Linked DNA regions of Schizosaccharomyces pombe. The gene in region 3 interacts genetically with the main gene of each other region. Each region holds a gene or a part of one and is shown on either strand. Other genes may lie near its edges.

Region 1 (5,207 bases), on a different chromosome or scaffold from region 3:
TGTATTATTTATAAACTGGTAAAATTAGGAATGCAATATCTTGTGAAAGTAGATATTTTAATGGAAATGAAAGCAAAGCATTAGGATTGATTTAATTAATCAAATATAATGATGAGTCTATTCATGCGAAATAGATCATATTATATGTAAGCAACTGAGATCTCAGTTTAACTTAACAAAAAAAATAATTAGAACGGCAGAATTATTAAAAAAAAAAAAAATCAAAAATCAAAAATTTAGTTGGACAAAAAGATAGCATTATATATGAATTTATTTAATTATGCTGACATGTGCACAAAATAATCACGAACATTCCCCAATTACTGGCTGTTGTTCAATAGTAGCCAAAGCCAAGGCAGAAGTAGTACTGATTAAGACAGGAGATGAAATTGATCGTACCTTTTTAACCGACCTTATCCGTTGCTTACGGAGCCTTAGAATACCAAAGAAAAGTGTATCAAATAGTTTGAAGGAGCGAGAACGCTTGACAGAAGTATGTTTCTTAATACCAGAACGGGAACGATTATGCATAGGGGTATTTAATTTTTCACTCGATATACATAACTTAGAGGGATCTTCAATGTTGACAGAAGTAGGAAGTTGCGATGGACTGCGCATATCATTTGCCTGCGCATCATTAGTGCCTTGACGGGTATAACTGGAATTTTGATGTGGAAGCATGGTAATAAATTTTAAGAAAAAGAGAAAATAAAAGTAAAATGGAAACAAATCACAATCAAAGGTGAAGTGATGGGATTAAAGGTTTTAATGAGAAAATAATTCGACAAATATGTAACAAAGGGAAACTTTTTTTTTGAATTACACGAAATGTTTTCAAACTTGAATTATGCACAAAATTAGAGAAACCTGAGAATAATAAATAAGCTTGATAATCCAAATAGCCAAGGGATTAATGGGATATAGGGTTGTAGTGATATTTCGGGTGTTTAATTTATTTAGAAATGGGTATAAAGTCCAGACTGTAAACAGAAAATAATCAGTAAACGAAATCTTTAGTGTTCCGTCCGAAAGAAGTTACCCTAACGAGATATGAAATTATGCGAACAGACGAAGTTTTAGAAGCCGACAATTGAATAAATAAAGGATCAAACTTGCTTAGTTTTATCGAAGGAAGCAAAGCAAGAGAACCGTGAGTAGGAAATAGAAAGTGAACAGTAATAAAAAAAAGTAAAACAGTAGGGAACGTTTTCTTAGAGCTTATTACAATTACGAAAAATAAAGCTTATCCCAATTGAGATAGTTAAAAAAAAAGGAACGAAATAAAACGATATGAAAGACAACAAAGGATGGAAAAACAAAAACAAACCGCTGAATGAATTAATCAAAAGAAAGCGGAAAAATTAATAAATACTCATCAATAGAGTAGCACAAGATGAAGCGAAGGGAGTAGGACAAGGCGTTAAGCCTGCGTTTAGTCTGAACAATAGATATAGACTAAAAAGTGAAAGACGGAATTTCAAAGTCTTAATTGGGGTATTCTATGTATATATACGTCCATATCTGGTAACATTTGCAAACCGTCTTTGATGTCAATTTAATAAGGAACCGAAGGTAACTTGCACACCTTGAGCAGTGACTGGGAGTAACACTCTCCTTGACATTCCCTCGGTACATAGGAGACGAATGAACCGAATGAACAAATAAACTAGATAGTTGCCCAAAAATGCACACAAAGCATTATCACTTTTATTAATTCAAATAACGACATACCAAAGTCGTAAAAGTTGGTAACAAACTCTTCAAATGATATTTCTACTATAACATTTTTCGTAGTACTTACCACTACGGGAGATTTGTAGAATCGGTATGATGCTGTGGAAGAAGAGTTATAGCGGGTTTCCTCAATGTGTACATGTTATTCTCATTGTACACTTGCATCTTAATTTTCACATTGCTCTCTCCCATCAATGATTTGCTTTGGAAAAACAACGGGAACAGAAATCTGGGAGGGAACGGAAAAGTATATTCATAGCAATCACAATTTAACGATAATTATTATGGTCAAATGAATACATATATTGAAAAGAATCGGTCAGCTGGATAGAAAATATGTAAACAGTGCAGCACTTATGAAGGTAATTTTATTTGTTTGCATCAGGTAGCAAGAGTTTTACGGGGATTAATAGAATTCGTTATATATACACTAACAATATAGGACGTAGTTTGTTATTGCTACCTAGTGTTGGGCGATACCAGCTAACGGTGTAGTGTATTTGGCTTTCTCTTTTGTGCATTCAGGGTTGTTGATTGCGAGTCTTATTCAATTTTATTCTGCCAATGCCGGGTTCACCAAGCCAAGAGCCTTTGGCAGAGGCCGAGTCTAATATGCTTCAAAGACTGGAGCAACTACAAATGCAAACATCGAATATTCTCAAGGAACTGCATTCTACGTCGATTTTCACGGATTCTACCACCTCACAACTTCATAATGGAGGTGAGAACTCTGTAATGGATACTGAGGAATCCTCGGCTATTGATAAATTAAGTGCCTCTTTACAGCAAGTAAACATTTCTTCACCATCAGTTCCTACCTCTCAATCTCGGGTTACCCAAGGCCAGTCATTAGGAAATACCCAAATATCTAATCCTACTTCAAAGACTAATAATGTACGAGCCAAAGCTCGGAATATTCGTAATCCCTCTCAACGTCTTCGACCCTCGACTAGTTTGGCCAGGTTATCAAATAACGCACCTCGCATTCCCAAAGAGGCATCACTACATGAGAATTCAATTTCTTCCAAGGAATCTCCTTCTGTAACGACCTCTAAACATGTCGCTACTATTACAAAACCTTCAACGTCGTCTATCGCCCGAATGTCCTCAAATGCTAGAATTGCTGCTATTCCGAGAGCGAAATCTTCAATGGCAGTTCGTTCACCATCACGCCTTGGTAATGGCCCGAATGTGCGCTCACCAAAGGTCGGCTTCAATGCAAAGTCGGATGATAGCCCCGTCGTCAAATCTCCTGGCTCTAACGACAAGCCTTCAGCTTCTCCTCGAATTTCTGTTCGTTCTCTCGGAAATTCTTCTGTCGTTCGTCCACCCACAAGGACTTCCACCACCCGTCCATTATCTAGAGTTAACGTAACAAATGCTTCCGGAAGTATCTCAAAGAATTCTACTAGTCCTTCCAAAGTAAAAGTCAACGCATCGACCAAGATCGTGCGTCCTGTAAGTGCAGCTCAGACTGTCCGACCGGGATCCAGAATCTTCAGAGAAAACTCTGCGTCCAATACTCAAAGACCCAACGTCTCTGCCACTTCTAACTCAACTGTTCGGGTAGCTTCTTCATTAGCTGTACGACCTGTTTCACGTAACGCGCAGGCGCGTACTCCCTCAAGATTAGAACAGAGAGAAGTTAATGTGAAAAATTCATCAGCTAAAATCGTTCGTCCAGGTACTTCTTTAGGTGTTCGTTCACCTTCTCGCATTCAATCCACTCTCTCTTCGAGGACAACTACAGGCAATGTTCGTACTAAAGCGGCTAATATCGTTCGTCCTTCTTCATCAATCAACCGTCGCCCTCCTTCGTCAATAAATCAACGCCCTCCTTCAAACTTGCGCATTTTGGCTCCATCTCGCTCGCGTGCAACAATTCATGAGAGACCAAGCAGTTCAATTTTACACAGGCATGCCCATTCACTAACTTCTTCATCCTTTTCCACTAAAACATTGGCTACAACCAAAGAAATTCAGAATTCGCCTACTTTGGTAGAGTCTTCGACAGTCGTTCATCATGATCCTTCTTATCTTCAAAACCAAACTTCCGAAATTAACGATACTAATCACTCTTCTCATTCGTCACCTTTGGACCTTAACAGAATGATATAAAAGTTGAGTGAGCTGCTGTAATTTGATGGCTTCTGTTCCATTTACACTTATTATTCTGCATAATTTATATCACATGTAGATGTTTTATCATAAGGATATTATTATTAAAAATAAGACAAACCATACGGGAAGAATTGGATGTTACGATTTGATATATTACTTTGTATTACTTAAGATCAGCTAATTAATAGCTTTTAAGCTGAAATTATGTTGCATAGGTTTATTCAGTTGAAAGCTTCACGACTGACTTGATGATAGTCGAGAAGTTTAGAGGGATGCGCTCTGTGTTAAAATTCAGCATGCAGCAACATCAGCATACAACCGATATGTAATAAATTAACATTAACAAACTGGCATTGTTTTCGTGCTCTATCAACTATCAGCAGTAAGTAATTGAAGACATTATGAAGTAAATGAGATTGCTGCATTACTAATTCATTTAGCAAAAAATTAAGTAAATAGAAGGGTTAATTTGTGCAACTTGTACGGTATATTTTGGATAGCGCAATTACGTTACGATTCATAACTGCAAGAATATCGAGCTACTCCAGTGCGCTTTCCTTAGGAAACCAAAACAATATTTTAGTACCTTTTTTTTAAATATTACTGACGAGTTTCATTCTGATTTCTTTTTATTACTCCTAACGGATGTGGCTTTAATACAATCATGTCAATGAACAGCTCAACGGAAATTTCTCAAGAGCCCTCTATAATGAAACCGGTATCTTCAGTAAGTATTTTTGCTATTTGAACTTCTGCGTACCTTGAGTCTCAGTTCTTGTATGAACTTTACTCTCAAATTAATGGTTGTTTGCGTAGTTAATTATTTTGGATTTATTGTTAAATCGTTCATGTTTTGTTTAACGATTTCCAAACAAAAAAAGTCTGAATATTTTACCTCTCCTTCAAAGAGTTTGTCTAACCCTAGCTAGATTTCAAGTTTCGTATTTAATGCAGGATTTTTACAGGGAACTTTCTCTGACACTACTCTCATTATAAAAGGTGAAACATATCATTTGCATGCCCTTTTTCTTGGCAGATCACCTGTTCTTCTACAAAAGCTTATTGAAAATAATCCCAAAGGTGATGTACATTATACCATAGAAGTAGAGACAGAGGATCCCTATGTTACTAAGGAATCCTGTTTGTTTGTGCTTTCTACATTGTATTGCGATTCCCCAAGAATCCCTGCTGAGGTGAATGTTTGTTCTGTTTTAGCGGTTAGTGATCTTCTTGGGTTAGACACGTTGGCTTTCGAAGCATCCTCACTCATAGAAAAGTCGATTAGGCCAGAAACTATGGAATCTGTGATAAGATTTCTTGACCCTAACTTTGAAGGTCTTGAGCGTCTTAAG
Region 2 (3,817 bases), on a different chromosome or scaffold from region 3:
TTTATTTTTTGTCGGAGAACATCCATTTACGTTTCTATGTCATAATCCCCTGATGTATAGGAAATGAACGTAATTTCGAGAGAGAAATCCATTCTCGACAATCTATTCATTCCGCCTAATATTTTTATTCATTCCGCATAGTACTAGAAGCGTGGGAACGGTGTTCCGCCGCTTTGCAATCTCTTTAATTGATATGAGTTAACTTTATACTTCATCCGCCTGCGATTCAAGGTTCGCTTGTATTCAGCAGTTGCGGCTCGATCAGGAGTCTCGTAATCCAGGATTTCGTAAATTATGGCATTGTGATCATGGATCATTAAAAAAAAAATTAAATGTTGTAAAGGTGAATTGAAACGAAAGACAACCATCATTTCAAGCTAAACCTCAATCCAACATCCAAAGAATCAACTAAGACCTAACCGGTATTCACTCTTTAATATGATATCCCCTCTTTATCAGTGATGTTTTCGGGTATCGCAATTATGAAGTAAGTCATTCTTCATAATATTTGATTTCGATGGAAAAAAAGCGCAAAAAAAAAAGAGGAAGAAAATATTAACTAAATCAAAACAGTACGTAATTGGTATTCACAGTTGGATTAAAAGTCTGCTTAAGGAAATTAGCTATTAGCACTAGTTAGCTATGATCAACCGCCGACTGTTGTATTCGGTACCGAGCGACAAGGTTGGTACAATAAGGGACTAAGTGAATGAATGAAATTAATGAAAGCGAATGAATAAGGTAAATATTAATTTAATGGGTGAATTGTAAATAAATTATATTGAGTATTCGAGTGAAACAGATGAACTGTATCGAATTAACCGTTCATATATTTGTCCATAAAAGATTGTAAACCAGAGAGGTATCTTAAACACTGAATCTTACTGACCTTCATTTTTACAAGTTTTTATTTTCCTTCATCCATTGCAATCATTCATTTCGGATGATTGAATTGGAAAACATTGCCAATATGATTATTTAGGTTCATTATTTTATATATTTATTTATTGGCATAAAATTTTTACTACTAGTTTTTCTGCCGCTAAAAGAAACAATAATTTATTCTAGATATAAATTTCTTTTTTTATTTTTTATATTTTAATGGACGCATGTGAATCACTTTTCCATTTGAAATTTCAATTTTCAATAATATGCTGCTACCTTAGAACTTGCAATATTAAAATTGATGCGAAATCTTAGTAAACGTAATATCATGTGCAATACAATCAAAAGTGATTTGAACTGTGACCTAATATCAAAGGTGGACTTACAACCTGTTTTCTAATTGTACTGGCAAATTTAAACATCATGCTTACGTTAAACCTAGCGTTTCTCCATTGCGAGAATATCAGCACTCATAAAAATTTGTGTACTGTGATTTTTTTCCTATTACATTAGCATTGAAGCATGCCATGACATTACAGTACAGTGCATTTCAGGCCCGACGAGAAAAAATAAATAAATAAACTTACGTATACATCTATATAAATCAGCGTCGTATGAATTCCTGTTTTCTCCTAATGATAAAACAAACAACTGTAGCTCAATTGAAAATTAGAGTGCTTGTTTCTGTCAGTGTATTTCCAACAAACATAATTTTATGAATAACAAATTATCCATAAAATGCTTTTTGGTAAATCCATATGCTACCTCCATATAGTAATATACACAATTAAAGATCCGCAATTTTAAAGAACTGTGCCAAAGACGTACGTACAGTTCTATTCTATGAACTTATATACTGAATATGTAATTGTTTAAAAGTGAAACATAGAAAATGCGGCAACTTCATTTTTCCCGATGGATGAATCGCTCTTTTCTTGAATAGTAACTTTAAAAACTACCGTTTTAAAAAAGAAAAATATTATTGAAAAATCTCGAAAATACAAAGATCCATTTCATTTATTGATTCCTCTGAACACAAGCCCCTATAACACTTCAAACCTGCCGATTTCGTAATAGCGATCGTTCATATAATCATACTACTCACCGATCACGCTTATACCACTACCGTCAACTGTGGGAATCTGAGATTTAACCTGCCTGCTGAAAGGGGCCATCTAGCTGTAATAAACCTTGTTTTCACCCATAATGTTTTCTAAAACTCTTTCCGTATCTCGCCTCCTGATGACCCGCTCTTTCTACAGTTCTACAGTAGTTAAGAATGTCAGCATCTTTGATTTCGAAAAGGTAAACCAACATAGGAATACGTTTGCTTTCATATGCGATGTTTTCTGGTTAAAGCTAAGTTTTACACTTCGCTACTCTACTCTCCAAGTATTTTGGAATTATTAACGGTACTAACTTGAAATAGGTTTATAACCTTAGTAAAAGACCAACTGGCGACAAATCCACCGTTTTAATTGGTAAGGACAATACAATAGTGAGTTAAAACTTATTCTGCTAACATGTCAGACGTTCGTGAGCCCGATGAATTTAAGCAAGGTGCAATCGAAACTTCTTATAATTTACCTGTTGGAAAAATCGAGGAAGCCATGAAACTTAGTGACGAGGAGTTTTCCAAGACTTATGGATTCAGCAAACCCGTTTTTGAGGACAACGTTGTAGTTTACTGTCGCTCTGGTAGAAGAAGTACGACCGCTTCTGACATTCTCACCAAACTCGGCTATAAAAAGTATGTTTGTATAGGTGAACAATTCCACTTAATTTCGAGAACAGTGTTCAAAAACTAACCTTTTAGTATTGGAAACTACACTGGCTCATGGCTTGAGTGGTCCGACAAAATTAAGTCTAAGTGAGGGTAGACTCGAACGCTTTCCAGCCTTCTCACCCATTACGTTACCTTTTAGTTTTATATGTAGTTTAAGTTTCTAGAGTTGAATGCATGCATCGTATGCTTGCTCACCATTTTTAGATGATAAGTAAGGTGTACTTAGAAAACAAAAACAATTTTACTGCAATGTAACAATAAGGTGAATTGAACTATGATAAGTTACTTACTCAAGCGATTTATTCCTTCGCATTTCTATTGTCAAAGACTTCGACGAAAGGGTAAAGCTGTAAATACATTGGAAGCTATTAATATGGGAAAATATATTTTGAGACAGTCATTGTAGTTAATTCCGGGTTTAGAAAGAACACCTCCAAATTCAATTAAACTAGGGAATACAGTTCAAGCACGTGTTAAAGATAACTCTAAGAAATTAGTTTTCGAACAACCAGGTGGAATTAAAATTGATGGGTTTTTGACATTTAAAGGCTTGAAGAATACTATTCATACCTTGCCGGTTTGCTCAAAACGCGAATAACATTTTTTTCTTTTGCACTGAATGTTACAATCTCAATTACAAGTATGATTAGAAAGGAGACCTTTGAACTGACTGTCCCCTAAATTTCTAATGTAGAATTTTTACTTTCTCTAAATTTAAGAAAATTCAGAATCATACTTCATAATGTTACTCTTGCTAAAGAGAAAACTTGGATATGCCATAGTAATTAAACCAATTTTCTTCATATTTCATCCTTCATATTTTGTAAGATATCGTTGATTTCTTTAGAAAGTGAAGAAAGTCTAATAATTATTTGTTAGTTATATCTGGATAATTCAATTTTCAATTTACCTAGCTTCCAATTCTGAAATTTGCGTATTCTCAACTGGTGAATTAGTAGAAACAACTTTTAACTGCTCAAGTTTGACGGTCTGCAAATATTATACATTGTAAGTAACTTGCATAGAAAGATTTATGAAAAAAAATTTACCGCTTGTAGCTTAGAGCGCTCTTTTTCCTGTAAAGAATCCACCAATAGTTTAAGCTCCTTAGTAAGAGATGCTTGATAGTTTCGAATATCAGAAGAA
Region 3 (3,637 bases):
GCCATTCGTGCTAATCTCCAGCCTTTGATGGATGCGGTTGTTGAACGCTTTATCACCGATAAAAATCTTTCTTCAGCTACCGTTATTCTTTCTAACCTTCTTAAAGCTGCTGGTCCCGCCTCTATTATGCCAAATGATGGGTTTATGATTTTGGTGATTGGTCGCTGCTCTGCTGAGATTCGAGGAAGTCTGGGAATGCTAGTTAAGGCAGTTGGTCAGAAAGGAAAGCATGGAACTGTGTCGTACACGGTTTGTGAATGCTATGAAGTTCTTGGACTCCTCATTCGATATCTATGTGAAAATTGTGACGTTCTTGCCCAAAGAATTGAGCCTGATAAATTTTTCCAACTTCAGCGATCGCTTACTGAGTTGTTTAGCGATACGATGGATTTTCTTCGTGATGCATGGGATAACAATAAAAACCGTGACAATTTAGCATCACATGTAACTGTAATCAGTGCTGTGGCTACCTTGTGTTTGTGGTTGACCGAAGATGACAGCCAATATGCACAAGCCTCTGGTCTTATGGACATATTTGTATATCTGTGGAGGCATAGCTGGTCGAATGGAATTGATTATGCTAAATGGATTAGCGTTGCTCTCCCTTCCATGCTGAGCAACAAGGTTTTCTTTAAAGCTTTTAAAGATTTTGATGCATGGAAAGTTGTTTATGACGATTTTATCAAGTGTAACGATGATTTAAAAGGCGACAAGTCTTTTAACGATTATATACTATCTACGAACGAAGAAGATGGGGAGGATGAACGACTTGCTCAAGCTATTCAAGATTTTCACATTCTCATTCAACTTAACTCTCTTGTTCCACAGTCAATTTGGAATGATGATATTTGGCAAGAGCCATATTGGAAGAATTTGCTTGAATCCAATTTTTAAAAAAGTTTTTGCTTTTAAAACAAATGCCCGCTTTAATATCTCCCCATAATTATTATTTTTCGTTCTTTTTAAGTTTTCTTTTTTTTTGGTCGAAAAAAACATGTCGATTTTTATTTGACAATTATTTAAGTGAAACTCTGCTTCTTTGTCTTTGTTTATTATTTTATTTGATTAATAACTTAATTTCTTGGGTACTTGAAGGGATCTTTAATTTAATACTTGGATTGTGTATCCGGGTTCTTATTATTGCCGTTGTTTTTAAACAATTTCTATGTGCTTTTGTTCATGAAATATTAACTCCTCTATCTTAGACTGGTTTATATTACCAAAAAATATACGTCTAAAACCTCTTTGACCCCTTCTCTTTTTTCTAATTTTCCTCCTCGCCCCTCTTTATTTAATTTCAGCCCACTCATAAATGTCTGTATTGTTTCAATTCAATGCTAGAAGCAAGGTGAAACCCTTGTATTTTTTATTATCTTTTTATCATTTCTGTTTGTTTTTATTTCGTTGTTGAACATTATTTGGTTTCAATTTTCTTTCAGAAGGTTCTTTCTGTTTTATTTCGCTTTTTCCCTTCTGAAAATTATTTTGCCAATGAGACACTGCTTTATTACTTGAAATTTTCTGTGCAACCGGAGCCTGGTTCTGCTGGAAGTATTCGTTTATGACAGTGCATTTATAAAACGAATGACAGATTTACTCTGAATCAGTGGCTGACAATATCATTTTTGAACTTATCCGAAGTAAATTCATGATTCTTTGTTATGAAATGATCATAAATCGTTTTTGAAATATTTGTTCACATGTATGATGTACCTTTGTTTATTGAAATTTGACTTTCGTATTGTAAATGTGAGACATGATCCATTCTTTTTCTACCCAAAAGAAGCAAAAATGTAATATGAATGGATAAGAGAAGTCAGCCAAAAAAGGATTAGCTTTATATTAGACATTTGTTTTTCACTAGCAATACCCAGCTGATGGGTAAGAAAACTAGATAACGGTTTCGGTTCGTATCGTTATAAACCCTTGGTTGCGTAATGTAGTAGGCAATCTTCTATAACGAAGTAAGCAGTTTTTCGTTAAATACAATACAGATTTTAAGCAAACTAGCTTTGCATTCTTCACCAGAAACTGAGAACGTGAAGCTTTCGGGAATGGATCCACAGGTAGGAGGTTTATTACCTATTTGTAATTATTTATTGACCGCGTAGGTGGTAAATTTGCTTCAAGAAACTGAAGGTGTGTACCGATTTTTGTCTGACGACTTTTTGCTAATGAACTCGACGTATAGAGGACGTGTATCGGCGTAAAACCGCAAGGATTCGAAGAAAAGTCTCGGAAATTGAAAAGGAATGCGAAATGTATGCTGTGAAAATTTACAACGTTGAAAGAGACATTCAGCGGTATCGCCATGAAGCGCAATTGCTATCTAAAGTGCTCGAGAAAAAAGGGTTAAATAAAGAAAAGGAAGCTGGTGAGACATAATACTTGTTTTAGGCAGGCGCTTGATGTTTTTATTTTTAAGTCTTCATTCGTTTTAAAATCACTTTGCCGGCCATTGATCTATAATCGTTAACATGCTTTTTTTTGACTAAGTATATGAAGTATGTAATGATTGATGGTAAAAATTGGACTCTGCAACCGAAGAAAAAAAACCTTATGTAATTTTTTGAAAAGTCATACTTTGTGCCGAAATCAATACAATATCTACGTACTATGGCTGTTGTTGTCCTTTTTTGTGTAACCCATTTCAACGTTCTTTTATGTGGGAAATCAACTAGGAATCTTCAAAGAAGAGAAAAAAAGAGCTTTATCTTCTATTAAGTAGGATTATTATAGAAGACTACCGTGTAATGTCAATAAATCATGAACTAACCGAAACTAAAAAAAAACTAAAGGAAAAAGCCGAAACATATGCGTAATCAACTCGATAAATATGGTTTAATTTTTTTGCCCTTTCCCATTTCTTCAATTATGTAAACATAATGTAAAAAGAGGAAAGATTCTTCGGTTGTTATTGAAACAGCTTCCAATCCACCTATGTAGAATAATGTGTTAGCAAACAGTAAAATAAATTTGTTGGAATTGTTGATTACTAAACGGAAGTCATTCAATTTGAAACCATCGGCCAAACGTACCACTATACTGAATAAGGCTATCAGCACCAACAGCCCCATAAGGATTACCACAATCCATTCTAGAGATTCATCATGTGTATGTGTTATCTGTTCTTTCAACATTGAAAGTAGGTCTCCAATTACCTCCACTCTTTGATTTAGTAAAGCAACTCTTTGGTTAATTTCCAAGTAAGACCGTGCTGCTGTATATATAGGTTCTAACTGCGGCTCCGTCCACATCAGCTCAGGACTATCCAAAACGCTTCCTTGTAAATTAATGTTAATTCTTAAAATAAACAACTGGCCTACGGCCATCATAATTTCCTCTCTTTTCAAATTCACTCTGCCAGTCTCGGCAATCATTTGGGGTGTATCTTTAGTAGCATCTATTGTTTCGTTGACCAGCTCTTCAAATAGTGATATTTTGACTGATTGAGCAATAGCATGTGAAATTGAAAGACGAATCATGTAGTTGGATGCATCCCGAAGTGCTATAAAGTCGTTGAATATCTATATCTGTTAGTCGACTAGCTTCACCATGAGGAAAAAGAGCTAAAGACAAAAATTTTTATCAATAAAAATGTTCATACCCTTGGTTGATAAAGAGTCGTTATATAGTA

Evidence for each region. A genetic interaction does not mean that the proteins touch.
Region 1: mutations in hap2 (region 3) and mmb1 together harm fitness more than expected from each alone (negative genetic interaction), as found in Schizosaccharomyces pombe (one large-scale study listed by BioGRID).
Region 2: mutations in hap2 (region 3) and rdl2 together harm fitness more than expected from each alone (negative genetic interaction), as found in Schizosaccharomyces pombe (one large-scale study listed by BioGRID).

What each region holds. Positions count from the first base shown.
Region 1 is NC_003423.3:2,607,683-2,612,889, reverse strand, and holds mmb1 (mitochondrial microtubule binder Mmb1), read left to right. Parts: upstream 1-2,249; 5' UTR 2,250-2,346; coding exon 2,347-3,852; 3' UTR 3,853-4,202; downstream 4,203-5,207. Other genes in the region: SPOM_SPBC25B2.08 (uncharacterized protein), read right to left, coding at 304-681; BTB/POZ family ubiquitin-type ligase substrate adaptor Btb2, read left to right, coding at 4,520-4,582, 4,785-5,207. UniProt on the Schizosaccharomyces pombe protein: Involved in the cell polarity process and in regulation of microtubule growth. Has a role in meiosis. Involved in microtubule dynamics.
Region 2 is NC_003424.3:3,837,655-3,841,471, reverse strand, and holds rdl2 (thiosulfate sulfurtransferase Rdl2), read left to right. Parts: upstream 1-2,001; 5' UTR 2,002-2,091; coding exon 2,092-2,190; exon of another isoform or gene 2,191-2,314; coding exon 2,315-2,366; exon of another isoform or gene 2,367-2,415; coding exon 2,416-2,635; exon of another isoform or gene 2,636-2,701; coding exon 2,702-2,759; 3' UTR 2,760-2,812; downstream 2,813-3,817. Other genes in the region: SPOM_SPAC4H3.06 (uncharacterized protein), read right to left, coding at 3,472-3,532, 3,582-3,661, 3,721-3,817.
Region 3 is NC_003421.2:659,599-663,235, reverse strand, and holds hap2 (Ino80 complex subunit), read left to right. Parts: upstream 1-2,026; 5' UTR 2,027-2,054; coding exon 2,055-2,066; intron 2,067-2,111; coding exon 2,112-2,139; intron 2,140-2,191; coding exon 2,192-2,385; 3' UTR 2,386-2,496; downstream 2,497-3,637. Other genes in the region: protein asi1, read left to right, coding at 1-894; sif2 (Sad1-interacting factor 2), read right to left, coding at 2,915-2,938, 3,039-3,527, 3,608-3,637.